Linked DNA regions of Macaca fascicularis. The protein of the gene in region 1 interacts with the protein of each later gene in a biochemical or structural test. Links are inferred from orthologs where the notes say so. Each region holds a gene or a part of one and is shown on either strand. Other genes may lie near its edges.

Evidence for each region.
Region 2: of the proteins of PTPN6 (region 1) and LCK, one has a biochemical effect on the other in vitro, tested with the Homo sapiens proteins (4 studies listed by BioGRID and IntAct, with this or other methods). The link is inferred for Macaca fascicularis from reciprocal best matches to the Homo sapiens genes PTPN6 and LCK.
Region 3: of the proteins of PTPN6 (region 1) and SRC, one has a biochemical effect on the other in vitro, tested with the Homo sapiens proteins (2 studies listed by BioGRID). The link is inferred for Macaca fascicularis from reciprocal best matches to the Homo sapiens genes PTPN6 and SRC.
Region 4: the proteins of PTPN6 (region 1) and PDGFRB form a complex in vitro, tested with the Homo sapiens proteins (2 studies listed by BioGRID and IntAct, with this or other methods). The link is inferred for Macaca fascicularis from reciprocal best matches to the Homo sapiens genes PTPN6 and PDGFRB.
Region 5: of the proteins of PTPN6 (region 1) and SYK, one has a biochemical effect on the other in vitro, tested with the Homo sapiens proteins (2 studies listed by BioGRID). The link is inferred for Macaca fascicularis from reciprocal best matches to the Homo sapiens genes PTPN6 and SYK.
Region 6: of the proteins of PTPN6 (region 1) and ROS1, one has a biochemical effect on the other in vitro, tested with the Homo sapiens proteins (2 studies listed by BioGRID and IntAct). The link is inferred for Macaca fascicularis from reciprocal best matches to the Homo sapiens genes PTPN6 and ROS1.
Region 7: the proteins of PTPN6 (region 1) and KIT form a complex in vitro, tested with the Homo sapiens proteins (2 studies listed by BioGRID). The link is inferred for Macaca fascicularis from reciprocal best matches to the Homo sapiens genes PTPN6 and KIT.

Annotation. Positions count from the first base shown.
Region 1 is NC_088385.1:7,890,221-7,894,090, reverse strand, and holds part of PTPN6 (tyrosine-protein phosphatase non-receptor type 6), read right to left. Parts: intron 2,989-3,870; exon of another isoform or gene 2,832-2,988; coding exon of another isoform or gene 2,824-2,831; intron 2,736-2,823; coding exon 2,613-2,735; intron 2,355-2,612; coding exon 2,160-2,354; intron 1-2,159. UniProt on the Homo sapiens protein: Tyrosine phosphatase enzyme that plays important roles in controlling immune signaling pathways and fundamental physiological processes such as hematopoiesis.
Region 2 is NC_088375.1:202,771,246-202,775,720, reverse strand, and holds the start of LCK (tyrosine-protein kinase Lck), read left to right. Parts: upstream 1-1,484; 5' UTR 1,485-1,592; intron 1,593-4,475. UniProt on the Homo sapiens protein: Non-receptor tyrosine-protein kinase that plays an essential role in the selection and maturation of developing T-cells in the thymus and in the function of mature T-cells. Plays a key role in T-cell antigen receptor (TCR)-linked signal transduction pathways.
Region 3 is NC_088384.1:93,506,663-93,510,532, forward strand, and holds part of SRC (proto-oncogene tyrosine-protein kinase Src), read left to right. Parts: intron 1-808; coding exon 809-958; intron 959-2,332; coding exon 2,333-2,488; intron 2,489-3,870. UniProt on the Homo sapiens protein: Non-receptor protein tyrosine kinase which is activated following engagement of many different classes of cellular receptors including immune response receptors, integrins and other adhesion receptors, receptor protein tyrosine kinases, G protein-coupled receptors as well as cytokine receptors.
Region 4 is NC_088380.1:157,000,190-157,002,874, reverse strand, and holds part of PDGFRB (platelet-derived growth factor receptor beta), read left to right. Parts: intron 1-39; coding exon 40-272; intron 273-577; coding exon 578-1,151; 3' UTR 1,152-2,231; coding exon of another isoform or gene 2,232-2,415; 3' UTR 2,416-2,685. UniProt on the Homo sapiens protein: Tyrosine-protein kinase that acts as a cell-surface receptor for homodimeric PDGFB and PDGFD and for heterodimers formed by PDGFA and PDGFB, and plays an essential role in the regulation of embryonic development, cell proliferation, survival, differentiation, chemotaxis and migration.
Region 5 is NC_088389.1:121,173,048-121,176,917, forward strand, and holds part of SYK (tyrosine-protein kinase SYK), read left to right. Parts: intron 1-2,310; coding exon 2,311-2,520; intron 2,521-3,493; coding exon 3,494-3,683; intron 3,684-3,870. UniProt on the Homo sapiens protein: Non-receptor tyrosine kinase which mediates signal transduction downstream of a variety of transmembrane receptors including classical immunoreceptors like the B-cell receptor (BCR).
Region 6 is NC_088378.1:21,377,841-21,381,710, reverse strand, and holds part of ROS1 (proto-oncogene tyrosine-protein kinase ROS), read left to right. Parts: intron 1-940; coding exon 941-985; intron 986-3,128; coding exon 3,129-3,188; intron 3,189-3,870. UniProt on the Homo sapiens protein: Receptor tyrosine kinase (RTK) that plays a role in epithelial cell differentiation and regionalization of the proximal epididymal epithelium. NELL2 is an endogenous ligand for ROS1.
Region 7 is NC_088379.1:79,244,363-79,249,022, reverse strand, and holds the start of KIT (mast/stem cell growth factor receptor Kit), read left to right. Parts: upstream 1-1,797; 5' UTR 1,798-1,855; coding exon 1,856-1,922; intron 1,923-4,660. UniProt on the Homo sapiens protein: Tyrosine-protein kinase that acts as a cell-surface receptor for the cytokine KITLG/SCF and plays an essential role in the regulation of cell survival and proliferation, hematopoiesis, stem cell maintenance, gametogenesis, mast cell development, migration and function, and in melanogenesis.

The DNA.
Region 1 (3,870 bases):
CTAAGGAAGAGTCTCCATGAAGGATCAGGCTGTGCCCCGGCAGAGACCAGAGGCAAAGAGAAACACAGACCAAGGCCACACCACAGGGAGTGGTGGGAGATGGACAGAGAGACACAAGTCACAAGGAAGGCCAATGGGGTGCGCTCCCCCAGGGAGGCGGGGAGGACAACCCCACCAGGGAAAGAGTGGTGTAGGGGGCTCTGGGGTGCCCTGGATGATGTCACTGAAGGGGAGCCCAGGGTTCAAAAGGGTTCAAAGGGATTCAAAGGGGCTGTCGGGGCAGAAAGCAGAACTAAGCCCTTTCCCCAAAGCACACCCCTTTCCCAGGAGGAAACTGTAGCCCCACAATGCCCTGCCCCACAGGAAACCACGTGATGGAAAAAACACAAAACTCCTTCTGGGGAGAGAGTGAGAAGTGAGGTTGTGAGGTTTCCTCAGCCCAGGGACAAGGGGAGGGCGGGCAAATTTTCCAACCGCAGGGATGGGGGGAAGAGGGGAGGACCAGTCTGTCCCAACCCATCTCACCCCTGCCCAGAGGTGACTCCAGCCGAGAGACCCCCCAGAGCCTCCATACCCCATTAGGCCACTTCAGCCCACCACCTGGGGACAGGCTAGGACCCCAGGCAGCAGGGAGGGGGCTGAGCCCCTTCCCTTGGGCCCCAGGATGAGGAAGTCTCCATGCAAATGTCAGGCTGACCACAGGAAGCGCAGAGCCACCGAGGGACAGATGCAAATTCCCGCAGAGAAGGAGGTGCCACAGACAAGGCAGGGGACACAGCAGAACCTGGGAGAAAGTCTCTCACACACTCCCAGGTTCGGGGGTGACACTGGCTCCTGGGATGGGTCACCCAAAAGGGCCTTCAGTGTGGCTTCCCCGGTCTTAACCTCCTGCCCCAGCACTGCCCTCCCTTCCTTCTCTCTCTTCTCTTTGAACCCAGGCCTCAGCCTCCTCTGCAGGGGCCTCCTGGGGCCCTGCTCCTCTCTTCCAACTCTAGGCACTGGTCAGCCCGTCCTCCTCCTCCTAGCTTGAGGCAAGGAGAAACAGAGGACATGAGCTTTAGAGGGTCTCGCTGGCAGAAGCCCCCTGAGTGTTGCAGTGGGGAAGAGGAAGGGCAGGGGGCAGACATAGAGCCAGCCATGTGAGGCTCAGATGAGGAAGGCCTTGAAGGAGGCAGATCCAGGAAAGGAGGCCTCCCAGGTGGGCCACAGGGCTGCACCGCGACCGAATCCAGCTCTAAGTTTCAATCAGTGACTTGACCAAAAATATTGATGCAGTTTGGAGGCCCGAATCTAAGAAAGGCTGCAAGCTGGCAGAAGCAAGTTTCCCAATCATTTCAACAATCGATCCACGAATGCAGGGCAAGGGCAAGTCGGCTTGGCCCAGGGGTCCGTGTGAAAACCCCCTAGCGTTATTCCGCTGCCCTTTAAGAGGATCTGGCATTGAGATGTGGCTGCTGAAAGGAGCTATGGTGTCCTGAGGAGTGTTCAAAGCTCCCCAGCCCCCCATCCATGCCTTTGGAAGACCACAGGAGGAGTCGAGGAGGGCACAGGAAGGAAATGCCTGGAGTATTATTCTGTGCCTGGGACAGTGCGAGACCCTTTACACAGGTGAACACTTCACATCCTGCTTTCAGTGATCTCTGTATTTGACCCCACAGGACAGACCCATCCCCACTGGGCGGCTGGGACAAGGTGTCAAGTGTCCTGGCAACCGTTCATCCCCATCCTCATCCGCAGTGTCAGCTCCTCACTGTCCTAACATGCACTGGGGTGAGAGGCAGACGGAGGAGGGCAGGCTGGCTTCCAGAGGAAGAAGAGCTTTCTAACAACAGAGCTGGCCGGCACGATATGCTGGCCACCAGCAGTGGCCTCCCTGTGTCTAGTGGGACCTGGGCTGCAGCGGCCAGGGCCCCTGGTATAGGGCAAGGCAGCTTTCTCTGGCTTCCTCGGGGTTAGGTGGAAAGGGTGGTAGGTTAGGCTCTGAGACACCAGGCCACAGGACAGCATGAAGGAGGGACACTGAGAGCCCCAGCCGGTGCGGGGAGGGGAGGGGATGGAGGGCAGGCAGTGCCGGGTGCCAGGCTCCCTGTCTCCCTGGCCGCTCAGGGCGGGAGCCGACTCACCCCTGCTTGCGAGTGACGGGGGTACAGAGGCCTCACCTCTCACTGGTGGGATCGGAGCAGTTCAGCGGGTACTTGAGGTGGATGATGGTGCCGTCGCGGTCTTGCAGGACGCCCTGCTGCTGAGTGTAGTACTCCACCAGCTCTGTCAGCGTCGCGAACTTCTCCCCTCCATACAGGTCATAGAAATCCCCTGAGTTCTGGATCCGAATATGGGTCACCTGATCCCCCACCCTGCAGGGCACCAGGCGGTGAGGCCAGTCGGTGCAGGAGTAAAGCAGGAGGGCAGGGATCGGCTGAGGTCCTGGGTGGGGGCACACATGGGCATGGGTGGGCACAGACAGGGGTGGGGAGGGCGGGGGTGGGGCGCGAGGGCACAGACGGGACGTGGGGGTCGGGGAGTCGGCACTGCCACGGGGAACCAGGAATGAGTGGTTCAGGGCCTGGATGGCACAAGACAGTGGCCAAAACACCGGGGGTGGGGGCACCTACCTGACAGAGAGCGAGAAGTCACCCTGGTTCTTGCGACTGGGCCGAGCCAGGAAGCTGCCATGGACACCTCGGCCCTTGAGCAGGGTCTCTGCATCCAGCCCACTGAGGTCTCGGTGAAACCACCTGGGCGGCCCAGGCAGGGCAGTGAGGAGGGGTCCCGTGGGCACCAGGCACCCTTGCCTCCTGTCTACCGTGGGTGGCAGGCCCTTACCTCACCATCCTGGGGGCTTCCGGAGAGGAAGGGGGCGCAGGGAATGAGGAGGTGCAGCTAGTCTGGGCAGGCGGAGAACTCAGGGACTAAGCCTCAAATGCAGCTCCCAGTGCCAGGCCGCTTCACCACCCCTGGTGGTCCCAGTTCTGGGGCTGCCACTCCACTGGCCTGGGGCGGCCGGCAGGGCGGGGACAGGAAGAGGCGCGGCCGACCCCTTGGGGGAACTCACTTGCACTTCTCGTTTTAGAGCAGAGCAAGGGAAGAGAAGCAGAGCACGGTGGCACTGGGGGTGGGGACGGGGCCCACTTCCCACACGTCTGCAATCAAAGGCTTAGGAGCATGGCATTGCACACATGTGACAACACATGCAGTAAGGACACACGTGTGCACTGCACACTCCAGGCCCAGATCATACTTCATGCATGTGAACCGAGACGCTCACACGGCATCTCTTCCTCCTCCACCAGCTGCTTTTACACAGCCCTCCCTGGCCCACGCTAATGACAATGATGGCGGTGACAGCTGTCAGCGAGTGAGTCCTGCTGGATGCCGGGTGCTGTGCTATAATGGCGTTCACATGCCTCATCTGATTGATTTCTCACCACAGCCCTATGAAATAGGGGCTATCTTTATCATCTCACAGACAAGGAACCTGAGGCTCAGGAAGGGTAAGGCATTGCCTGAGTCCCTCAGTGAGTCAGCTGCAGTGCCAGGATTCAAACCCAGACAGGCCGGTTCCAAAGCCAATGCTTTGAACTCCTATACACCAGCCCTCAGGGCTTCAAAGAACAGAGATTAAGAGCCTCCTTGTGCAAAGGGGCTGCCATGGGAGCGGGAGACTGATAGTTAAGACCTTGCCAGTGCTTGCAAGAGAGAAGGGTGCACTTCTGTAACCAACATATGCGTTTTGTCCATGCCACTGTGGCAGAGGGATGGACAGCATGACCCTGAGCAGCCCTGTCAAACTTGGGTCCTTTCTGATTCTTGTCCCTAGGCCTCTGCCCCGCCCCAGGACTCCCACCAGGGGGCCTATCTCCGGGGGGTTGG
Region 2 (4,475 bases), on another chromosome or scaffold:
ACCTCCACAATGGAGGTGCTGATTCTCACTCCACAGGCAGCGGATGTGCCTTAAGGGAAATAGTGCACAGTGAGCACTCAGTGAATGTGAACTATTACTCCCAGCTGCTGTCTTTCTACTCTGTGCTGAGACCCGGAGATGGACTGTGAAGTGTTCAGGCTTACATTGCAACGGAGTCTGGGCCCTGCACCTGGAGCTCCAACTCTAGGCTCTGTGTCACTGTGAAGGTTTTTCAACTTTGTCTCTCTCAGCCTTTGTTTCTTGTGTTACCCTCTTTGTCTGACTTTCCAACTCAGGCTTCCTCTTCCCCCCACCCATTTCCTGCCCCCCCTTCTCTCCGCAGCTGAGGTGCACACAGCATCGCTTCCACCTCACAAACCCCAACAATGCTCTGTGGGTTCCCCTCCCCCCACCAGCTCACTCAGGCAGTGACGCATGTGCACTTTCCTCCTGCGGGGGTCAAGGCTGGGTTCTCGGACCCGATGAGGCCACCTGGCGTTCCTCATATCACTGGTGACCTGGCCCTCAGCTAATGATGGGCGCCCCCTCAGCCTGGCCCCAGGGGAAATGGAAATTCTTTGCCTGCCTGCTGCTCGTGAGGATCTTCTTGCCTCCTGCTTATAACAGAAAGTCCTGACTGTCTGTGGCCTGCACCTGGGGGCCTGAGCGGCCCTGTTTGCTCTGTCATCCACCTGTTGCAGGAGATAGTGCCAAGCCCTTCACCTCTGCCAGGGGCTGTGACCTTGCCTCTACCTGAATTCAAAGTGTTGCCCTACTCTCCGACCATGATTAGTGGGTGTTGTCCTGGCCTCTGACTACAGCAGGGGCCGTTACGATGCCCTCTTGGAGACATGAGGTTGTCCTCCTGTCTGCCTCCTGAAACAGGCTGTTTTCCAGCACTCTGTCTGTAAGAGGGATGGTAGCCTACCATTCACCTACCCTTGACTATAATAAAGCCACTGTCCCATGCTCCGAGATGACATGGGAATTGTTCTCTTGGCCTGACCTGACTGTAACATGCGTGGTCTGCTCACCAGCTATTTAACAGGGATATTGTCCTCTCCTCTGACTCTGAATGATGCTACCTTTGCTGCCAGATAGAAACAAAAGGGTCTCTCAGCTGCAACAGTGGTGCTGCGGTGCTGCTTGCCTCTCACCGTAAGCTGAGTGTGTGTCTGCTTGCCCCCTGCTCCCTGGGCCCAAAGGCTGCCCTTGAATCTCCTGCCCAGATGCACTCTGGAGGGCAGAAGGGAGGGTCTATCAGACATCCTCCCCTCAACTTTAAACCTCCCAGTGTCGCCCTGGGACAGTAGGGGAAGTAGGGCCTGGCCTGGAGATGTAGGGGACCCCCAAGGGCTGAGAGGCGGGGGTCTATGGTGGCAGGAAGCTTGGGGTGCTAGAGGGTTGTGGTTGGGCTGCTGGGGCCCGGTTGGCTGCGGAGCCCTCGGGAGGAGGCAGGAAGTCAGGGTGGGACGTGGGCGCGAGGAGACAGGTGGTGGCTACGACGGTGAAGGGAGCTGAGACTGTCCAGGCAGCCAACTTAGGCCAGGAGGACCATGTGAATGGGACCAGAGGGCTCCCGGGCTGGGCAGGTAAGGAGCGCTGGTACTGGGGGCGCAGGCACTGGGGTGAGAGGCCTGATAGCAGACGGCTGCGGTTACGCGGGCCCAGGCTCCCTAGGGACACAGCAGCCCTTTGTGGCTGGGGAGAGAAGATCCTCGCTCAAGGTCAAGTGGGAGGCAGGCAGTGTCGCTGGGTTGCCTCTTTCCTGCGAAGCTGGTGGCGCTTGCCTCTGCCGTGCTGTCCACCAGCAGCCCCACCTCACTGGGACCATGTTTCCTGGAGACCAGGCACATGGACAGTCAGGTGTTAAAAAGGCTTCCAGAAACCACCAAATCCAGTCCCTCATGCCATGAGGATGAGGCTCCTGAGGCCCAGAGATAACAAGGCACTCACTGCCTATGGTTTCTCAGCAAGGCAGTGGCAGGGCTGGGCCACTGCCACTGAGAGAGTGATGTCCGAGGCTGTGACCACCCCGCCTGGAGCAGGGTGATGGACAGGTTGGACTCAGAGGACCCAGGAATCCTTCTGGTTTCTGGGACAGACCCCAGTGACAAGAATCTCCTGAGAGAGAGACAGAGAGAGAGAGAGAGAGAGAGAGAGAGAGATCACCCAGGGCATCCAGATGGACATGCGAGGAGTGATTTTATCCTCAGTGATCGAGGGAAGAGTCTCCTGATGGGCGTGGACTAATATGTGTGGGGGTGTCCATCACCCGGGATGGAGCTCCAGGGTGGATGGACATATCTGATCTGAGTCTGGGAGGTTGGGAGTGAAAGAGAATGATGGGAGAAAGGAAGAGGAAGTACTATTTTTATCCCAGACAGGGGTGCAGTTGGCCCTGGGTGAGGAAGCGCTGAACTCCCATCTGGAAAGTCACCATTCCTGCCCCTGCCAAGCGTCACAGCAGGATGTCCTCCCCTCGCCCCTGGCTCCCTCCGGCTTCAGCCCTGCCTGTGTAGGGCCAGTTGGTTTTGCTGATTCCTGCTTCAAACCCCAGGGAGGTGGAGAGAGATTGGGGAGGCATAGTTGCTACCTGCTCACCTCCTCACTTTTTAACTCTGAGCCTTAATTTTTTGGGGGAGTCCCCACTCAGCCAGATTTCCAGGTTTCCCCTGCTTCGTTGGAGTTTTTCTTGACACACACTTTCCGCCTAGTCAGCAGGTCCCAGCCTTTCTCCTATCTACAGCTCCGAGTCCTGTAGTCTCTTGTGGGGGCTAGGGAACATGGTGGCTCTCCCCGCGCTTCAGGGAGGGTCATTCACCCTGGACAGGCATGAGCAGTTCCTTCCACCCAGCCCTATGACAGATGAATCAAACAGGGTCCCTTGCTCTTGGGCCCCAGGAACAGAGGCTCTTCTCAAAGAGAGAAGGGCCAAGTGGACAGGGGCTGACAACAGGCTGAGGGTTGGTTCAGAGGAGGGGAGAAGGCATTTCTTAAGATCTGGAAAGCTTCCTGCCAGAGTCAAGACAGTTCTGAGAAGGAGAAAGACCCATTTTCGAGAGTGCCTAGGATATGAAGCCAAGGTCACTATCCCTGGATTCTGTTCCTTGGGTACCACGAGGCCAGAGACCTCAGAGCAAGACCAAAGGCAAGAGAGCCCACAGATGTGGTGTGGGGCAGAGAACATGCATTTCAGAGACAGGCCGACCCAGTCACAATTCCGCTCTACCATGTCCTTGAGCAAGTGGCTTCATCTCTCTCTGAACTTCAGTTTACTTACCTGTAAAGAGGCAATAATCAAGCTGGGCGCGGTGGCTCACACCTGTAATCCCAGCACTTTGCGAGGCTGAGGCGGGCAGATCACTTGAGGCCAGGAGCTTGAGACCAGGCTGGCCAACATGGTGAAACCCTGTCTTCACTAAAAATGCAAAATTAGCCAGGCGTGGTGGCAGTGGCAGGTGCCTGTAATCCCAGCTACTCAGGGGGCTGAGGCAGAATCGCTTGAACCCAGGAGGTGCAGGTTGTAGTGAGCAGAGATCAAGTCATTGCACTCCAGCCTAGGCAACAGATTGAAACTCCGTCTCAAACAAAAATGCCTCCTGGGTTCAGGCGATTCTCCTGCCTCAGCCTCCCAAGTGCTAGGATTACAGGTGCGCCACCACGCCTAGCTAATTTTTGCATTTTTAGTAGAGATGGGGTTTCACCATATTGGCCAGGATGGTTTCGATCTCCTGACCTTGTGATCCGCCCACCTCGGCCTCCCAAAGTGCTGGGATTACAGGCGTGAGCCACTGCACCTGGCCGGCACATAGTAGGTGTTCAAGGGAAGTGAGGCACTCCCTCCCCCTGCAAATGATGCACCAAAAGGAGGGCTGTCCACACCCAAATTACGCCCACTCAGCAGCTTGGCAGGCCAGTGAACCACCCATTCCCTCACATTTGTGGTGTGGCTTTGCAAATCAGCCTGCTTCCTGTATATAGTGTGAGGGGTGTGAGAACTCAAGCAGGCTGGACTCTGAGCAGGGCCATGGGATCTGCTTTAGAAGAGGGTCTCTCACACAGCCACACACAGACACACACACACACAAGCCAAAACACCATACATATTATAGGAAAATGTATGTGTACAGATGTGTTCAGAAGCAGGGCAGGGACTACACATAAAACACAGACTATATCCTATAACTCCAGGCACACACCCAAGCTGATGGCTTCAAGGCCAAGCTCAATTCAGTGAAAGTAATTCTCAGTGGGGTGGGGTGGGGTGGGGGGTGAGGAGCAGGTAGGACCAAGGTACCATCCAGTAATGTGGCCTCTTAACAATCAACCTCAGTGTTGATTTTAAAGTATCTGGAGCTAGGGGTTCGAGGCTGCAGTGAGCTATGATCGCTCCACTGCACTCTGGCCTGGGTGACACAGCTAGATTCTATCTCTAAAAAATAAATATGGCAGGGCACAGTGGCTTATGCCTG
Region 3 (3,870 bases), on another chromosome or scaffold:
GTTCCTGGCCGCTGGAGCCTCTGCCCTTGCCTCCAGGGCTCAGCCTTGTTCCCTGATGCCATTTGGGCGTCTCTTGGCCTCTGGTCCTACCTGGGCCTGCTGGATGGGAGGAAACTTTTCTGGCCAAAAGCTTTTCTAGGCTCAAGAGAAAGAGGGGAGGCACCAGGGCTGGCCCTGCTTGACCCAGGCAGCCTTCAGGCCACACCCAGCCAGTGGTCTCCTGCCCACGACAGCCAGCCTCTGCCAACCACCCCCTCCCGCCTGACCCTGGGCCTGTCTTTAGAAAGGAGGTGGGTGGGGGACACGGACAGTGCCCCCGTGAGCCGATCCAGAGAGGGAAAGCAGTTAGGCCAGGGCCACACAGCAACAGGGAGCCACTCACAGGCTCCCAGCAAACAGTTATTGAGTGCCTGCTGTGTGCCTGGCCCTTTTATATGTGGTGGCATGGAATCTCCCCAGCAGCCCTGGGAGCACCCGCATTGTGCAGAGGAGGAAACTGAGGCCCAGAGAGAGCCAGTAACCCCTCCAAGTTCCATAGCTAGGATGCCCACCTGAGATATGGGGGTCTTGCTGGGGCCAAGGGTGCGTGGCAGGACGTTCCAATCAAGTGTCTCTTGGGTCCCTTGGCCCTACCTCTGTGGCTGCCCCGGGGCTGGCTGTTGAGAGACAGGGTGGGCCGCGGGCCCCGCCTGGGCCTCCCTTCCCTCCAATGTCAGGCAGGCACAGAACGGTGTCCAGAGCAGCGCTGAGTGCTGCGGCCTGTGGGAGAGAGGGCGTGGCGGTCACGGCTCCCCTCTGTGCCCTGCAGGTGCCTACTGCCTCTCAGTGTCCGACTTCGACAACGCCAAGGGCCTCAACGTGAAGCACTACAAGATCCGCAAGCTGGACAGCGGCGGCTTCTACATCACCTCCCGCACCCAGTTCAACAGCCTGCAGCAGCTGGTGGCCTACTACTCCAGTGAGCCAGCCTCGGAGGGCGGGCGGGCAGAGCCTCAGCTGCAGACCCTGGGGAGGGGCTTTGGAGCCTAGAAGGGTGGGGTCTTCTGTTATCCTGTGATGCCAGGTTTCCTGCTCCCCTCCCCACTTTCTCCCTCCCCCTTCCCTTCCTCTCTCCTCCGTTTTCCCTACTTTCCTCCGTCTCCTTCTTCTTCCTCTTCTTTCCCCCGACCCGCTCCTCCCAGTCCCCGTCTCTCCCTGCTCCTGCTCTGCAGCTGGCTGGTATGGAGGGGGCTGCCCTGAGGAGCCCAAGAGTGAGCTGGAAGGGAGGGGACGGAGGCTGGTGTCATTTGTCTATGTAGCCCTAGGACCGGTCTGAACCGGTTGCTGGGAGAGGAGGAGGGGGCGGCCAGATCGATTGCAGCAGAGACGGAGAGAGCGGCAGAGGGAGCTCGCGGGGCTTGCGTGCTGGGTGAGGGCTCGGGCGTGGGCGCAGTGCTGTAGCCCACCCACCTGGGCGTCCGGAGCTGACTGCAGTGTCGGGGCCTGTGGGTGCCTGTGGGTACCTGTGTGCCCATGTGTCTGTGGCACGCGTGGCCTCTGTGTGCAGGTGTTGGTCCACTTCCCACCCCAAGTCTCCTCCTCCTCTCAGCTCGGCCTCCTGACTTCCTCTGGGATCACCCACCACGCTCTTGTCTCTTCGGCCACCGCTGTGTGGCTCATGCTGAACCCCGTTCCCTCAGATCAGAACTCTCCAGGGGCTGTCTTGGAATCTTGGGATAAAGACCCCCACCAGCCCCCAAGTGGTCTAATCCCAGCTGCCTCCCCACCTCCGCCTGGTGCCGCCCTTCCCCACCTGCTCCCTGCAGCTCCTTTTGCCTCCGCTTCTTCAGCCCTGCAGCTATTCTTTCCTCAGAGCCTTTGCTCTGGCTGTGCCCCTGCCTGGAGGGCTCTTCCCTGCTTAACCCCTCACCCTCCTGCACATCCAAGCTCAGTTGCTGCTTCCTCCAGGAAGCCTCCCAGGACCCTCCTGCTGTTGCGCGAACAGCTCTCCTCCAGTCACATTCATGTCTGTGGTCCTGGGAGGTGATTAGGGAATTGAGGCTCCTCCCTGGACTCCGAGTTCCTGAGGGTAGATTCCCTGGACGTGTTCCCCGCAGGGTCCCTGGCACCCCCTACTGTCTGCTGAATGACTGACTCAGCAGATGCATAAAGCACTGTGGGCCTGTGTGGGGGTGGGACTGTGTGCACATAGATGTAGATGCCTGGCTTTGAGGGCGCCCTGGGTGTCTCCTGAAATCTGCGTGCATCTGGCATGTAGGGTGACACACACTGAGGGGCAGGGAGGCCCCAGGGCAGAAGCCCCCCCTAACTGCTCCTCTTGCCTCCTCCTCAGAACACGCCGATGGCCTGTGCCACCGCCTCACCACTGTGTGCCCCACATCCAAGCCTCAGACTCAGGGCCTGGCCAAGGATGCCTGGGAGATCCCTCGGGAGTCACTGCGGCTGGAGGTCAAGCTGGGCCAGGGCTGCTTTGGCGAGGTGTGGATGGGTAAGGCCTGGCCCCTGCCCTCGGGAGAGGCATCCATCCCCCACCCCGTGTGGCAGCTCTGGGCTCTGTTGGTCCCTTTGCCTTTAGCTGCCTCTGCTGGACGACGGGGCCCTGTTGTAAATCTGGAGCCCCCCAGCGGTGGCTGGCACCGAGTTGGGATGTGGCCCCCCAAGTGCTGTGCCCCAGACCGTGTAAACCATAGCACCTGATTCCAAGATCCGCACAGGGCTGGGCATTGCACAGACCTGCTGTGTAGGCTGGGCCCGGTGGCCTCACTCGGAGTCTCAGTCTTCCTGACTATGAATGGGGCTGGTGACAGTGGGACCTATGGGAGGCTGTGGAGGCCATGGCCCAGTGCTTGTCCACACACCAGCTGTTAGCCATGGAGAGAGAAGCCTGGCTCGTGGGAGGAGGTGCTGGGAAGCTTAGTTCTGGCATGGTCTGAGCCTGTTAGTGATTTCCTGTCTAACCCTGGAGAAACAGCAAAGCATGAGCACCGTGCAGCCCTGACAAAACCCAGGCCCCTTGTCCACCGGTTGCTTTCTGCTCACACAGAGGGACCAGAGGCCAGGGTGGAGGTGGGACAGCACTTGTAAGCCCGTAAGCCCATGGTGCTAGCGGGGATCACGGTGTGCTGTTTTCAAGGTGGTTTCATCTGAGCCGCATCTCCGCTCAGTCCCACTGCCTCCACTCTCCACCCTCCAGAGTGCTGATGGAGGACAGCAGAGAGGCCTCCTGGGTGGAAGGCACTGCAGGGACAGAGGCCTGGAGGCTGGAGGTCAGGCCGTCTGGAAGGGGGAGGCGTGGGCTTTGAGCTGGTGAGAGGGGAGAGGGGTGAGAAGCCAGGGTGTGAGCACAGCCACAAAGTGAGGACTTGAGCGAAACCTGGGTGAATGCACAGCGTCAGCCATTCTGGTGGCTGCAAAACTCATTTCTGGCTTTGGTGAGTGGTGATGACCCTGGGAAGGGCCTCACTTCCTCCCTGGGTGCTCCAGGTCGACTCATGAAGTGCCACATGCAGATGGCTTGAGCCAGGAGGACCACAGAGGTGGGCCTGAGCCCTAACCCTCGGAGAGAGGCCCAGTGACTGGGAGGAATGGGCCCAAGGTCACACAGCAAAGGAACCTTGAGTCCTGCTGGCACAAGAACCTGGATTAAACATGCTGGTCTAGAATACAGCTTCCCCCAGAGCCCCCAGTTAGAAAAGCAGATAGTAGTGAAACGATAACCGCATTACTTACTGAGCCCTCACGGTGGGGCTGGCCCAGTGGTTAAAATCTCATTCAGTCCTCAAACAGCTCCACCAATAGACACTGTGGAATCCCCATTTTCCAGATGAGATAACTGAGGCTTAGAGAGGGGAACTGACTCTCCCATTGTCT
Region 4 (2,685 bases), on another chromosome or scaffold:
CCATCCCTGTTTCTTTGGTTCTCCCTGCCCTGGGAGCAGAAGTACCAGCAGGTGGATGAGGAGTTTCTGAGGAGTGACCACCCAGCCATCCTTCGGTCCCAGGCCCGCTTGCCTGGGTTCCATGGCCTCCGATCTCCCCTGGACAGCAGCTCCGTCCTCTATACCGCCGTGCAGCCCAATGAGGGTGACAACGACTATATCATCCCCCTGCCTGACCCCAAACCCGAGGTTGCTGACGAGGGCCCACTGGAGGGTTCCCCCAGCCTAGCCAGGTAACCACTGTGGCCTGGGGCCAAGGATATCGTGTGTGTGTGTGTGTGTGTGTGTGTGTGTGTGTGTGTGTGTGTGTGTTTGCCTGCATGCGTGCTGTCAGGCTTGCCTCAGAGGTAAGTTACCTAGGGTAAGTACTTATCCCTAACAACAAATAAAAGAGAGAATGGAACTCATTTGAACTTTGATGCCCTGAGGTGGAAAGGGCAGGTTAGTAAAAACAAAAGTATGGGCTGGGAATTATTTGCAAGGTAGCTATTTCCTTTAAGGGAGCCCCCAGAGGTTATCTATACTCTCTCATCTCTAGGTCCTGTCCTAGCCCCAAGGAGAAGAAGCAAACCTACTTAGCATCCCCAGCACCCCAGTTGTTACTCATGGCCAGCCAGAGGCCTATGTTCTGTTCTTCAGCACCATGCCCTGGGGCTGGAGAGAGCCTCCAGGGCTGCAGGAGTCAGAGGCGCCTACAGGAATTCAGGACAGAATTCAGATTGGGAAGGAGATTGTGGTTTTCTTTTGCCTTGGGAAGTGGTGAAGTTACAGCTCAGCGGGGGCTTTATAGGAGGACCCTGCTGTTGTGGGGACTTGATGTCCACATAGGATCTCCCCTTAACTGGAGAGAAGGGCTCCTCATGAGGCCACGCCCACCTCCAAAGCAAGATCCAGCCCAAGGTGAAGTGGCTGGAGCCCCAGGCTGGGGTACTGTCCCAACTCTGCCACTAGCCGCTATGAGACCTGGGAAGGCTTTTCCTCTGAGAGCCTCAGTTTCTCCATATGTGCCAGGGGTGCACACAGGCCTTAGAAGGCTCCCAAAGGCCCTCATTGCTCTAACTGTTGAAGAGACGAATCATCCAAGAGTTCCAGTGGATGGCGCAGAGGAGTGAAGTGCAGCTCTCCTACAGCTTGAGGTGTGAACGCAGAGGAGTGAAGTGCAGCTCTCCCACAGCTTGAGGTGTGAACGCAGAGGAGTGAAGTGCAGCTCTCCCACAGCTTGAGGTGTGAACGCAGAGGAGTGAAGTGCAGCTCTCCCACAGCTTGAGGTGTGAACGCAGAGGAGTGAAGTGCAGCTCTCCCACAGCTTGAGGTGTGAACGCAGAGGAGTGAAGTGCAGCTCTCCCACAGCTTGAGGTGTGAACGCAGAGGAGTGAAGTGCAGCTCTCCCACAGCTTGAGGTGTGAACGCAGAGGAGTGAAGTGCAGATCTCCCATAGCTTGAGGTGTGAATGCTCGCCCTGTTTTGTGCCCTCAGACAAGCTGCTTCACTGTGTAAACACTGGTGTCCTCTTCTTTTTTTTTTTTTTTTGAGATGGAGTTGCACTCTTCTTGCCCAGGCTGGAGTGCAGTGGTGCGATCTCGGCTCACCGCAACCTCCGCCCCCCGGTTCAAGCAGTTCTCCTGCCTCAGCCTCCCGAGTAGCTAGAATTACAGGCATGGAGCATCACACCCGGCTAATTTTGTATTTTTAGTAGAGACGGGGTTTCTCCGTGTTGAGGCTGGTCTCGAACCCCTGACCTCAGGTGATCTACCCGCCTCGGCCTCCCAAAGTGCTGGGATTTCAGGCGTGAGCCACCGCACTCGGCCGGTGTCCTCTTCTATAAAATATAAACAGTAAAAGTACTTCTATTAGGCAGTCATTGCAAGGATTAAATGAGATAGCATACACCTTTAGGGGTGCAGAGGAGGCAGATGCTAGTGGGTGAGAAATGAGCTTTGGAGCCAGCCAACCCTGCTCTGAAGTTCCAGCTCCTGCACTTCCCTGCTGTGTGAAGTGGGGCAGTGACATAACCTCTCTGAACCACACTTTCCTCACGGTGCAGGCATTGCATAGTTTTCACAAGAGTTAAATGAGCCGGAGTGTGTGAAGCCCATGGTGCAGGGGCAGACACACCGAAGGCTCTTCATGACTGCTGCTGTAATCCTCCTGGGCTCCTTCCTAGCCTGTCACTCACTGCCTCCTTCCTCTAGCTCCACCCTGAATGAAGTCAACACCTCCTCGACCATCTCCTGTGACAGCCCTCTGGAGCCCCAGGAGGAACCAGAGCCAGAGCCCCAGCTTGAGCGCCAGGTGGAACCAGAGCCAGAGCTGGAACAGCTGCCGGATTCAGGGTGCCCCGCGCCTCGAGCGGAAGCAGAGGACAGCTTCCTGTAGGGGGCTGGCCCCCACCCTGCCCTGCCCAAAGCTTCCCCTCTGCCAGTACCCAGCACCTCCTGGCCTGGCCGGGCCTCCTGTCAGCCAGGCTGCCCTTATCAGCTGTCCCCTTCTGGAAGCTTTCTGCTCCTGACGTGTTGTGCCCCAAACCCTGGGGCTGGCTTAGGAGGCAAGAAAACTGCAGGGGCCACGACTAGCCCTGTGCCTCCAGGGAGGCTAACTGACTCTGAGCCAGGGTTCCGCCCAGGGGACTCCGTTTTCCCATATGTA
Region 5 (3,870 bases), on another chromosome or scaffold:
AAAAGAAAAGAAGAAAAACATCATATTTGTATAATACCATCCCAACACTACTACTGTTAACTAAACACTACTGTTAATTAACCTTATAGTATATATTTTTAGATCTTTAGTTGTACACACACGTATTACTTAATTAAAATAAAATCATTCCATTATAACAATACAGTGTTTACATTTATTTTCTTTAATTTTATGTTATGTCTCGTTTTTCTTACTGTGAAAATTGTTGATTCCAAATATGATTAGTATAATTATTTATTGGCTTTATCCTATGATTTCAAATAACAATACATATTATACAACAGTTAAAATTGCTAAATTTCTAAAATATCTTTGGTTTTTTTTTTTTTTTGGTCTTTAGAAAGTATCCAACATGGAATGTACAAGTAAAAATACTGGTTTCTAAAGTCCTTTGAAACACACCCTCTCTTTGAATTGGTATGATACTAATATGAATGTGGTTGGATTTAGTAGCTTCATGGTATTTCAAATTTAAGGAATTTTTGTAAAAAAAAAATGTATGAGTAGGTAATTTATATGATTCAAGTAGGTTAAAAATATAGACAAAAGTATACACAGACATACATGCTTTTCGGCCAGGTGCCGTGGCTCACACCTGTAATCCCAGCACGTTAGGAGTCCAAGGCAGGTGGATCACCTGAGGTCTGGAGTTCGAAACCAGCCTGACCAACATGGTAGAACCTTGTCTCTACTAAAAATACAAAAAATTAGCTGGGTGTGGTGGTGCACACCTGTAGTCCCAACTACTCAGGAGGCTGAGACAGGAGAATCACTGGAACCTGGAGGAAGAGGTTGCAGTGAGGCAAGATCACACTGTTGTACTCCAGCCTGGGCAACAAGAGTAAAACTCTGTCGAAAGGGAGGAAGGAAGGAAGGAAGAGATGAAGGGAAGGAAGGGAAGGAAGGAAGGAAGGAGAGAGAAAGAAAAGAGGGAGGAAGGGAGGGAAGGAGGGAAGGAGGGAAGGAAGGAAGGAAGGAAGGAAGGAAGGAAGGAAGGAAGGAAGGAAGGAAGGAAGGAGAAATGCTTGCTTTCCAATCTGTCCCTTCCATTTGTTTTTGTGCATGTGCATCTCTGTGTATAAACATATATACATATATACACACACAGATACACATACATGTATATACGTATACACACACAAACATACACACCCATGTATACATTCACAAGTATATACATAAGCACATGTATACACACAATCAAAATTGGTTGTGATACTTATTTTAAAATATATTTGTATATCACCGTCATTTTGTACAATGAACAAAAATGTTTCTGTGTTAATCATAAGCTTTTTCAGTTTGTGAAAGGTTGTGATCTTTATTCTCTGCTTAAATTTGTGAATTAACATAGACATGACGGTGGACATAATTTCAACTAGAGAGTTTGGGGAGAGGAGAGGCTCTCTCGGTCAATTTTGCAAAAGTATGTCTTTACAATACTGAGTCTTTCAATCTATAAACACAGCCCATCCCCGCATTTACTAGGTCTTCTTCAGCCTCTCTCAGGAGAGTTGTTTACCTCTTCAAAGCATTACATTTAAATGTATCCTTTTAAATTCTGCACCTAGAAATTCACTTTCAGCGTTTATGAAAGGCATTTTATATTCACATTCATTACACGTAATCTGAGATGGTGAATCCCAAGATGTTACAGGAATTTGTGCATGTCATCGTTGGTGAGGTTTATTTACAAGTTATTTAAATATTTTACAGTTTAGGGTTTTTGCTTGGTTGGGACGTTCTTCAGTACTGTTCTTCACCATTCTTTTTATTTTATTTTATTTTTTAGAAACAGGGTTTCCCTCTGTCATCCAGTCTAGAGTGAAGTGGCAAGAAACTCACTGCAGCCTTGAACTCCTGAGTCCAAGTGATTCTCCCACCTCAGCCTCCTAAGCAGCTGGGACTACAGGCTTGCACTGTCACGTCTAGCTGATTTTTTTTAGAGATGGGGTTTCACTATGTTGCCCAGGCTGATCTTGAACTTCTGGCCTCAAGCAATCCTCCCCCTTCAACCTCCCAAAGTGTTGGGATTATCAGCATAAGCCACCATGCCCAGCCCCCACCATTCTTTTTTAGTAATGGGGCATTACTCTCATTGTCTGTAAAATTAGGGAATATAGGTTGGAAGGCCAGCCATCCATTACAGGCTTCTGAAGACACATTGTCACTCTGTGGCAGGTATTTCCATGGGACTGGTTCCACGCGGGGATTATGCTTCACAGGAGAAGATTATCTAGAAGCCAGGCGTTTCAGAAAGTTTCTTGTGTGTTATGATTTCTCTTGCAGAGTTGTGAAAACAGTGGCTGTGAAAATTCTGAAAAACGAGGCCAATGACCCCGCTCTTAAAGACGAGTTATTAGCAGAAGCAAATGTCATGCAGCAGCTGGACAACCCGTACATCGTGCGCATGATCGGGATATGCGAGGCCGAGTCCTGGATGCTGGTTATGGAGATGGCAGAACTTGGTCCCCTCAATAAGTATTTGCAGCAGAACAGGTATTGTCAGGTGCCCCCACAGGTCTGGAAGCTCTCCCCTAAGGGACAGGGCCCACCACTGGATGGGCTGAGCAGCCTGATTTCCGTGGAAGCCTTCCCACCCTCCTGTGCCTTCCCTTATTGGTCCATACTCAGGGACCTTGACAGAGGGAAAAAGGGAGACTCAGTCTTTGGATTCAGCTCTGTTAGCTCTAGTTGTTCAGAGAAGAACTCATTCGACAGTTTTGTCTTTCTTTTCTTTCTGTACTCATTCAGTCTTGGCCTAGTGATAGACTCAGCCTCAGAATATCTTGACAGGGAATCTCCTTTCTCACTGGGAAGAACACATTCTTTTTAAAGAAACATTTAAAATAAGTGCTTTTCTAAGAGGTGACAGTTATGTTTTATCTGGCTGACCTTATGTCCTCATGAATAATGACTTCTGAAAATATCAGTCGCTGCTAATTGATTACATCCATCAAGGGAGTAATCGTGTTCTCATCTAAAGCTGTTGTTGAGATGAGGAAACTCACTTGGCGTAAGACAGAATGATGGCTACTGAGGAGCTTGCTTTGTTTGCTGTGCTATGTTTGTACTTAGGTTGTCTCTTTAGTCTCCATGGAAGGGAGGTGTTCTTACCCTTTATAGGTGAGAAACTGAGACTCAGGGTTAGTTCTGTGACCTGTGCAATACTGGAACAAGGATTTAAGGTGGTGCCTGGCTGTCTGTGAACCAGGCCTCACCACTCTGTTATACTGCTTGTCTTGCAATTCCAAGCATGCCAGGAAACTCAATCCCATTGAACACCAGGAGAATATGGCATTCAGTCCTGAAGAGTTATATGCTAACAAAGTTATTTGTCACCACTTGTGAGTTTTGTTGTTTAAGAAGAGGGAAGGAGTAGATTCACCTACTGCCTGCATGAGGAGCATGGTTGTTTGTTGTGAAATGGGTCACTGTCGGTTATAGCTGATGAGATCGTTGTGACTTTCAGACATGTCAAGGATAAGAACATCATAGAACTGGTTCATCAGGTTTCCATGGGCATGAAGTATCTGGAGGAGTGCAATTTTGTGCACAGAGATCTGGCCGCAAGAAATGTGTTGCTAGTTACTCAACATTATGCCAAGATCAGTGATTTCGGACTTTCCAAAGCACTGCGTGCTGATGAAAACTACTACAAGGTAAGTACAACTTAGCTAATATTCAGAGCAGCTGGTGGTAAAAAATGCAAGATAAATGTATGTTTTCTTTATTTTACTATTGGTATGGTTTTAAAAAGCAATTTTGCTACTTAAAAAATAACTATATAAGAAATGTTCTCATAATCTTTGATTTTACTGTTTAAAAAATAAAAATAATATATCACAC
Region 6 (3,870 bases), on another chromosome or scaffold:
ACTCATGCTTCAAATTAAAGAAAAAAATAGGCAACATTTGTTCTTTGGTTCTTGAGTCTGATTACTTTTCAAGTCAACCCACACATTATTAAACCATCGGATAATGTTTCCAAGGGACTTCTGAAGCATCCTTATGTGGGAAACCACTTGGAATTAGTGGGTTTACTCCTTTAGCATATCAGTATTTATTGAACACCTATTTCTATCAGGCAGTGTTCTAGCTGCTGAGGATGGAGTGAAGAGCCAAATGGATGGAAAGGAGGAGCATGCTCAGTGAGCTCGGTGAGCTCAGTGACAGAATGCAGCTCTCTTCTCTCTACCAAGCATGGAACACTATGTGGGTACTTATCTGATTATGTGATGGCCCAGTATTGCCATCCTTTATAAACTGTCTTGTTTATGAAGGACTCTATTCAAATTATGACCAGAGAGATAATGAGCAATTTATAGATCTTTGTCCTTAGTTCCCATTTCTTTTATTTTCCTCCAGTATAAAAAAGTTCTTAAAATTTGTATGTGAGCAATAAAAGAGTAATCTTATGTTTTATTTATACCAATTTGCATTTTCTCTCTGCCCTTAATTTTAAAAAGGAAAAGTCTGAACACAATTCATCACTAACCTAGGAGTCCTTTGACTAGATTAACTGACCAATGCCGCAGGATTATTTAATTCTGCGTGAGACTCTCTCTCTATAGCCACACTCTTACTCACACCTTTTTGGTTCCTGCAAAGTTCTTAGACATTGTATCTATAATTTGCGTTATATCTATAATTTGTCTGGTAGTGATGAATTTAATGCCTTTAAAACATTTGGCTCCTTACTTTACGTTACAAAATGCTGAGGAGAACGTTATTTCAGGAAGCTTTTTAAAAAGGTGTGTTAGTTACACGGAACCCAGTACTGATAGCTGGTGTTTACTACCTCCTTCTTCGTTTCAGGGCCAGCAGCTTGACCTTGGCACACCACATAATCTGAGTGAACCGGTAAGTAATTTCTTCAATTGTCAAGAATTTTACAATGTTTGTGTTGATAATGAAGGGACGATGATCAAGTTTTATCACAGTAAGAATTGCTAAGTAAAATCTCATTTATCCTTGCTGGAAGAAGAACAATTGAAAATAATGAGAAGTCCGAATTTATATAAAAATGAAGTGTGTTGAAGTGGAAACAGCACAGGACCAATCCAAGTGCATGATATTGTTTCTATATAACTGTGTGGCTTTGGACTAATTACTTAATTTTTCTGAGATTTAGTTTTATTATGTGTTATTTGAGATCATCTCTAATATTTCTTCTAACAGTTACGTTGTATGGTTTTATTACTGTTCTGCACATGTATTCATTTGTTTACCAAGTGTTTAGTGACTTAAGGTATAAGTATGCACAAGGCACTGTGCCAGGAACTAGAAATTTAACAATGAAAAAAAATAGGGCCTCTGTTTAAAAGGACTCTCAACCTTTTTGAGATACATGCTTGAAACCAGAGAGATAGACATATGCATAAAATTAGGGCCAGGCAGCATCATCAGAACCAGAATTGTGGTGTGGGTGAGGAGTGAAGGGAGAATACACAAGAGTAAAAGGCACCTCACTTGCCTGCAAAGCCTTCAAACTAAAACTAGAAAGAGGAAGCGTTTTCCAGATGGACTAGATGGGAAAAGGCATATTGATCAGAGAAGGCCCTTTGTGTCAAGAAAGCCCTTTGTGTCACAAAGGTGTGAAGTAGCCTAAGTTGTTAAGGAAACTGAGTATTTCAGCTTGCTTGGAAAACGGGGTACATGTATAGAGGGTAGGGAGGTGGAAGACCAATTGCCAAGTTACATGGAGCCAGATCATGAAGGGCTTTGTCTGCTATGCTTGCTAAGTTGGTCTTAACTCACAAGGTGATGGAGAGACATATAGAATTTTAGGTAAGAGAAGAGTGTGGCCCGATTTTTTTTTTTTAAAGTCACTCCAAATGTGGGAACAAGAGGGGTCCTCCCCTAAGGTTTTTGGCAAGTGGTTAATGGCAAAGCAGAAAATTGAGGCAGTGAGTGATGAACCCAGATGGATTTTAGTTAATGACCAGAGAAGTCAATAGGACTTGGTGATGGGTTTTCCGTGAGAGGGGAGAGTGGGGTGAGAGAAGAAGACACCCTGGTTCCTGGCTTGGACAACTCAGGAGAATGTAGCATGTTAATGGGAAACACAGGAGAAAGAGCAAATTTAAAGGTCGAAAGTGAGGAATTGAATTCCACATGATGAATTTGAAGTGCTTGTAGGAACTTAAATGGAGACATCTAATGAACCAGTGGATATCTGGGTCTGGGGCTCAGGAAGGAGCCTCAGCTGCAGTTAGAAGTTTGGGGGATATCAACATCGAGATCACTTGAAGCTGAGGTAGGGGATGAACTCGCTCCAGGAGAACTAGAAGAGTGAGGGGAGAAAAAGCTGAGGATAGAACACAAACACCAAAGGGGTGGAGAGAGGCAAAAAGAGATGGCAAAGGAGGCTGAGCAGGAAGAAAAAGGAATCCAGGTGCCACCATGGCCTGTGGAAGGAATGGTCAAGACAGGCACAGCTGAATCAAGTAAGGTAAGAAAAAATGTGTCAAATCTGTCCAATAGCAGGTCAGGGCAACTCAGGGTTTTCAGGGCAGCTATGGGGTGAAAGCTGCTAGTAGGCAGCTTACTCCCCAAACTGTCTACCTATTGAGGTTTTGACATGCCACCATCTGGTTGCATCTCCAGTTTTGAGTTTTGCTTGATATGTGAGGACACCTTAGGGACCCAGGATATACTCAATGCCACATTGTCCTGGGCTTTACCTTTGACAGCTACCCAGTGTACAGTGTCTTCCTTGAAGGTTGGCTGTTCTCTGGCTTCTAGGCCTGCCCATGCCAGGCTTAACTCCACTCAGCAACTCTGCTGCTCTGCAGTGAGCCACAAGCCTTGTTCTACCTGTAGATATGACAGCTCTGTTTGGAATCCCAAAATTCCAGATCCTTTGGAGGCCTCAGGTTTCTTGGTAGATTTCTATTTCTAAAACACAGGGTGATGCTTTTTGTTACTACATTGTACTTTCAGGTAACAAGAAAAAGTCACATTTCTTCAATCACTCACCATTGTCTGTTATTGTCTCTTGCAGTGCATCCAAGGATGTCACTTTTGGAACTCTGTAGATCAGAAAAACTGTGCTTTAAAGTGTGTAAGTATTAATTAGATTTCTATTTTGATACTGGTGTTTCTTTCAAGAGGAAAGTTGTGTAAGAGAATTCCCATTTGCATTTCCATTGGCTTTCAACTAGTTTGCTTGACCCCAAGACAAAGCAAAACAAAACAAAACAAAACTGAAAAACCGATAGCCTAGATAATACACAGTAATGGAAAAGAGATTGAGATTAACATTTTTAATGCAACTAGAGGTCATGGAAGGTTATTGCAAATCACAGAACCCAGGAATGCTCAATTGCTCCAAAACTATAAATGTCTTGTAGTGGAATGTTCGGTATTTGTTAAATTTCCTAGGCCTATGCTTCTCAAATTTTAATGTGCAATTATCTGGGATCTTATTAAAATGCTGATTCTGATTCAGTAGGTCTTGGGTGGGCCCTGAGATGCTGCGCTTGTAACAAGCTCCCAAGTGTTGAAATGCTGGTGGTTCCCAGACCACATTTTGGACACCAGGGTCGTAGGTTATGTTCAAAGTTTCTATGTAGAAAATATGGTAGGTATCTAATTCAGGGCCACAAACACCTGGTTTATTCCACTTTATGTAGGAAATACATCCCCAGATACTTTATTTTTCATTTTATTATGTAGCCTGGCTTTTGCCACTCAGTGTGTAATTTAAGGCACTTAACCCCTTGGTACTTTACATTCCTTATCCA
Region 7 (4,660 bases), on another chromosome or scaffold:
CATAGTGATTTTTTCTCAATTCAAAATGGATTTTAGAAATAAATCAAGATCCCAGAAACTTATGATTGCTTTGAGTGGTATCTTTCATCTGTCATCCTAAGAAAAACATGAGATCTGATGGCCCAGAGCACAGAGACCTTTTGTATTTCAGTTCTCCTACAGCCACATGACTCGAACCTTTTGCTGGGAGACTGGGATGTAGGTCCCCATACTTGATTATAAGGACTGTGAGGGCAGGGGCCACATCTGCTTATCTGTCTATTAATAATAGTACTCCTGGTACCTAGCTCCTCGTTGCTCCACAGCAGACACTAAATAAATGCTTGCTGAGTGAATAAATACTTACATTTAAAGAGAGGCAATTATACACATTGATCATTTGATCATCCTCTAGTACTGATAATTTTTAAGTGATTAACTTTAAAAATCATTTTTCTTACGTCAACCTGGGTCCTCACACTATTAAACAACAGGAGAGCTTTCAACATTAAATGGAGTGGGGCAGCTGGGCAACTATAAATTTTGGATGATACTTCAGAGAAGAGTCTAGGTGTATCTGTTCTATCCCTTTTTCTCATGGGCATCTGCCACTTATTTTCCATTCTTAAGCTCTCAGGAGGGATGTCTTTTTAGTTTATCAGAATCCATAGGGAAAGCTCATCTTTCTTGGAGTAGGTCTTCAAATAAGGGTTCAAGCCCTGGGTCTTCCCTCACTACAATAATAAACATACCTGCTCTACCCTCCTCACAAAGCTGTTATGGTGAGCATGAAAAGAAGAGTCGGTGTGGGGAAGAACTATTAACCCCTATACAGATACCGTGTTGCTTTCCGTTCAAGGATCCACCATGAGACTGTGGATAAAGCACTTTCCGGGCAGTGAAATCTGGCTTAAGAGAATCATTGTACTTTTATTCTGCTCCTGGGACCGGCAAGGGCAGTTAAGAGGGACACAGGGATCCCTAGCCCTAAAACTGTCGTCTGATACAGAGGCAGATAAATCATTACTGGGGTTGGCAGCGTTGGGGGGAGAGGGGGAAATGTGTATGAAAACCTGGGCTCCCAGAGCAAACTTTGCAACGCGCCCCTCCCCACTTCACCGCCCCAATCTCCACACAAGTCCCGGCAGGGGCTTCTTGGGCGGAGGCCACGCCGACCAATAGGAACCCACTGTATTCTTACAGGTTACGAAGCAGGTGGAGAAACTGAGCAGAAACAATTAGCTAAGCCGGGCTCAGCCTTTACCGCGGTGCCACGCGCTCCTAACAGGCCTGGAGGGTAATGTCGGGGCTCAATTTCCTAACGCTCCCCTCCCCATCCCCGTGTCACCTCCACCAGCAGCGGCGTCCAGCCTCCTCCCGCCCGAACGTGCTCGAGGGACGGGCAGCCGTCCTTTATTGTCTGGGGAGCACCTGGCAGGTGGCGGGCCCGTGCCCTAACGTGCGCGTGGTGCCCAGCTTCACAAAGCGAGCGGGCAGCACCTCTTTGGTCCGGGAACGGCCTCGGGCGGGCCGACCACATCCCAGGGGTGGAGAGGTGGAGAGAGAAAGGGGCTCCGGGGTCAAGAGCTGGGAGCTAGGGCGCGCGCGCGCCCTCCTCCTCCCCGCGGGCACAGCCCCCCGGCATTAACACGTCGAAAGAGCAGGGGCCAGACGCCGCCGGGAAGGAGCGAGACCCGGGCGGGCGCGAGGGAGGGGAGGCGAGGAGGGGCGTGGCCGGCGCGCAGAGGGAGGGCGCTGGGAGGAGGGGCTGCTGCTCGGCGCTCACGGCTCTGGGGGCTCGGCTTTGCCGCGCTCGCTGCACTTGGGCGAGAGCTGGAACGTGGACCAGAGCTCGGATCCCAGCGCAGCCACCGCGATGAGAGGCGCTCGCGGCGCCTGGGATTTTCTCTGCGTTCTGCTCTTCCTGCTCCACGTCCAGACAGGTGGGTCACCGCGGCTGGCACCCCGACCGTGCGACTCCTCGGCGAAGCCTGTGCCCGGGAGGGTGGTACACGCCGGAGTGCATCCGGAGAGAGGACTGCGGGCCCTCAGTGCCTGTGCGTTCCAGTCTCCGGGGGAGACTCCAGGTGTCCCTCGGACTCTCCTGCGCCTTGCCTCGCTCACCTGCGCGAGGAGACCCCAGCTGCTAGTGGTGGGGACGCGAAGCCGGGGTTCCTCGGGAATGGGGACAGCGAGGGGAGGTTAGGCGTGAGCGAGGTTGCAGGCTGCGTGCGAGTTTGGGGTGGCTTTTGTGCCGAGGTTGCGCGGGGGGCGGAGGCGAGGGGCTCAGGGGTTCCCACCGAGCGCCTTCTCTCGCTGTGCGAGGCGCGGCCGCAGCTTCCTTTTGTTAAAAGTTGCGTGTGTGTGACCGGTGCCCAGGAGGACCTGCCTGCAGGTTCTCCGCCGCGCGGAGGGCAAAGTTAGAGAGCCCTTTCTCTCCTCTGCGGCTGCTGCCTTCCAACCGCAGGCGCTCTTTGTGCCCAGAGCTGGGGACCGACCCGCTGCCGCCTCTGCTCACGGCGCCACCCGTGGAGACGAATCGAAGCCTGCGGATTTCCCCGCCTCCGGGTTAGGGTTTTGCTCTGGGAGTGCGCGGCGTGTGGCTGTGGGGCCGGACTCCCGCGAGCCTGGAGGTGGTGTGTACGGGGACAACTTGGGCAGGGCGTGTGGAAAGCAGCCGCTAGGTTGCAGACTTTTTGCTTTCGTATATCCTGTGCTCGTCCCTTTCGGCCGCGGCGCCGTTTCATTCCTGCCACGCGCCCCGGGGCGGCTGGAGGCTGCGTTTGCCGCCTGCTCCGGGAAGGCAAGGGACAGCGTGCTGGGACTATGCGTGCCCTGATCCCGGCTGCCTAGCACGCCGGCCAGTGTGCCCGGCCTGCCTGGCGGGCTCTGGAAGCCCGTAGTCCCGGTATCTGCGACCTGTATTCGCAGGTCCTGTTTTCTTCGGAAATTTTTGAGATTAGTGACCGCCCGCCTCCCTGTCCCCGGGGAGGGGACATCTATACTTCAGGGCTGCCTGGGGGTGGGGTGGGAGATGGAGTGGAACTTTCTGCAAATCCTACTCAGTTCTTAAAGCTATAACAAAAAACCAGATATATCCGCGCGGGAACTTGGGTCTTAGGTGAAGGATTTGCCGGCTGCTGGAGCCCCTCGGTCAGATTTCTGCCTCTCGTTCCCTTTTTTCCAGGTGTCGCTGGTGCGCGCGAGTGCAGGTCGCCCAGCTCACTCCTGAAGCACTGCTCTCTCCCAGGTCATTTTTAAAACAAACCTTTAAGGTTACCTTGATGGTGTAAGGATAGAAAGTGAGTCTTAGCTGGAATCAAGCGCTTGAAAGGAAGCGGCGCAATGAACGGTTGTGAGACTGTCTACTACTGGTCAGTTTCTCTATAAAGTCTCCAGGCGCAGTCTCCCGCGTCCTGGTCTTGTAACTATTGTGAGGGCTTTCCTGTGGGGGCAGAGAGGCCTTGCATCTGGACCCCTGTGCAGCAGGAGGGGTCAGCAGGGGTCACGAGGGAGTGTTCAGATTCCCTGGAGGATTTGATCACCTAGCTTAAAACAACACATCTGGTCTTTATGTTTTTGTGCCTTGACCTTTTTAATATCAGTTAAGGTATGTGAACTAGACCCCAGTAGGAGACTAGAAAGACCACATCGAATATCTCCCTTTTACAAAATTAAAAGAATCAATGGTTTTCTTCTTCCCAAAAGATTTTTGGCAAAGGGAATTTTAAGTCTGTCTCCTGGGGGGGCAGTGTGGTGTAACGACAAAGCCTTGATCTGTCCCCTGGGTTCTCCTTTTCTCTGCCATTTCTTGGCTGCGTGCCCTTGGGCAGGTTGCTTAAGGCAGGTTGCTTAAATTCTGGGGAACCCAGTGTCCTCCAGAGTACAAGGAGGCATCTGCATCATGAAGGATCCTTTGGGTCCAGAATTTTCCAATGTGCTGAGTGTAGACTCAGCACTCTTTTCAACTATTCCCCTGGTCCCTGTCTGCCACCTTGAAATTCCTCTGCCTCTCCTGCTCACGGGGACCTCATGGAGTATGGGTGCATCTGACCGTCTGCCCCTGGCTGCAGCAAGGAGCTGTGGCTTATGCTTCCCACCCCTCAATTCCCATATATTTCTCTGTATTGCCCTTTGAGGGCTAGGAGGTGCCCACTTTGTCCTAACCGTCATTCTTCTCCCCCACCACCACCCCATTATTACAGCTCCTGTGCCTAACAGGATGAAGCTGCAAGGAATGGTGAATCATACCTTCCCCGCTTCATTCCTGCAGGTGTGAGGCTGGAGTCATTCTCAGCAGCTGGACGCAAGGCAGTCTAAATTATTTTCCTGCTGGAAATATCCCAAATAAATATCCCAGATAATTCATTTATCCCTATTCTGTTTTTTCCCCCACTCATCCCCATATTTTTTCCTCATGACTCTCTAAATCATGTATGCTGTGCATTTATAACATGCTTTCTAATGGGCCTTAAATTTTGTATGACATGTGTGTTATACATAGTTGTTGCTCTTCAGTTGGAAACTGTGTGCCAGGCCTGTTGCTTGGGGCTTTACCTGCTATTTCCGCTAGTCTCAATGAGCCTAGGAAGTAGTATTATTATTACCCCTAACATTTTACAGCTGGAGAAACTGGCTAAGGATAAGCGCCAAGTCATCAGTGGTGAAGCCTGATGAGATT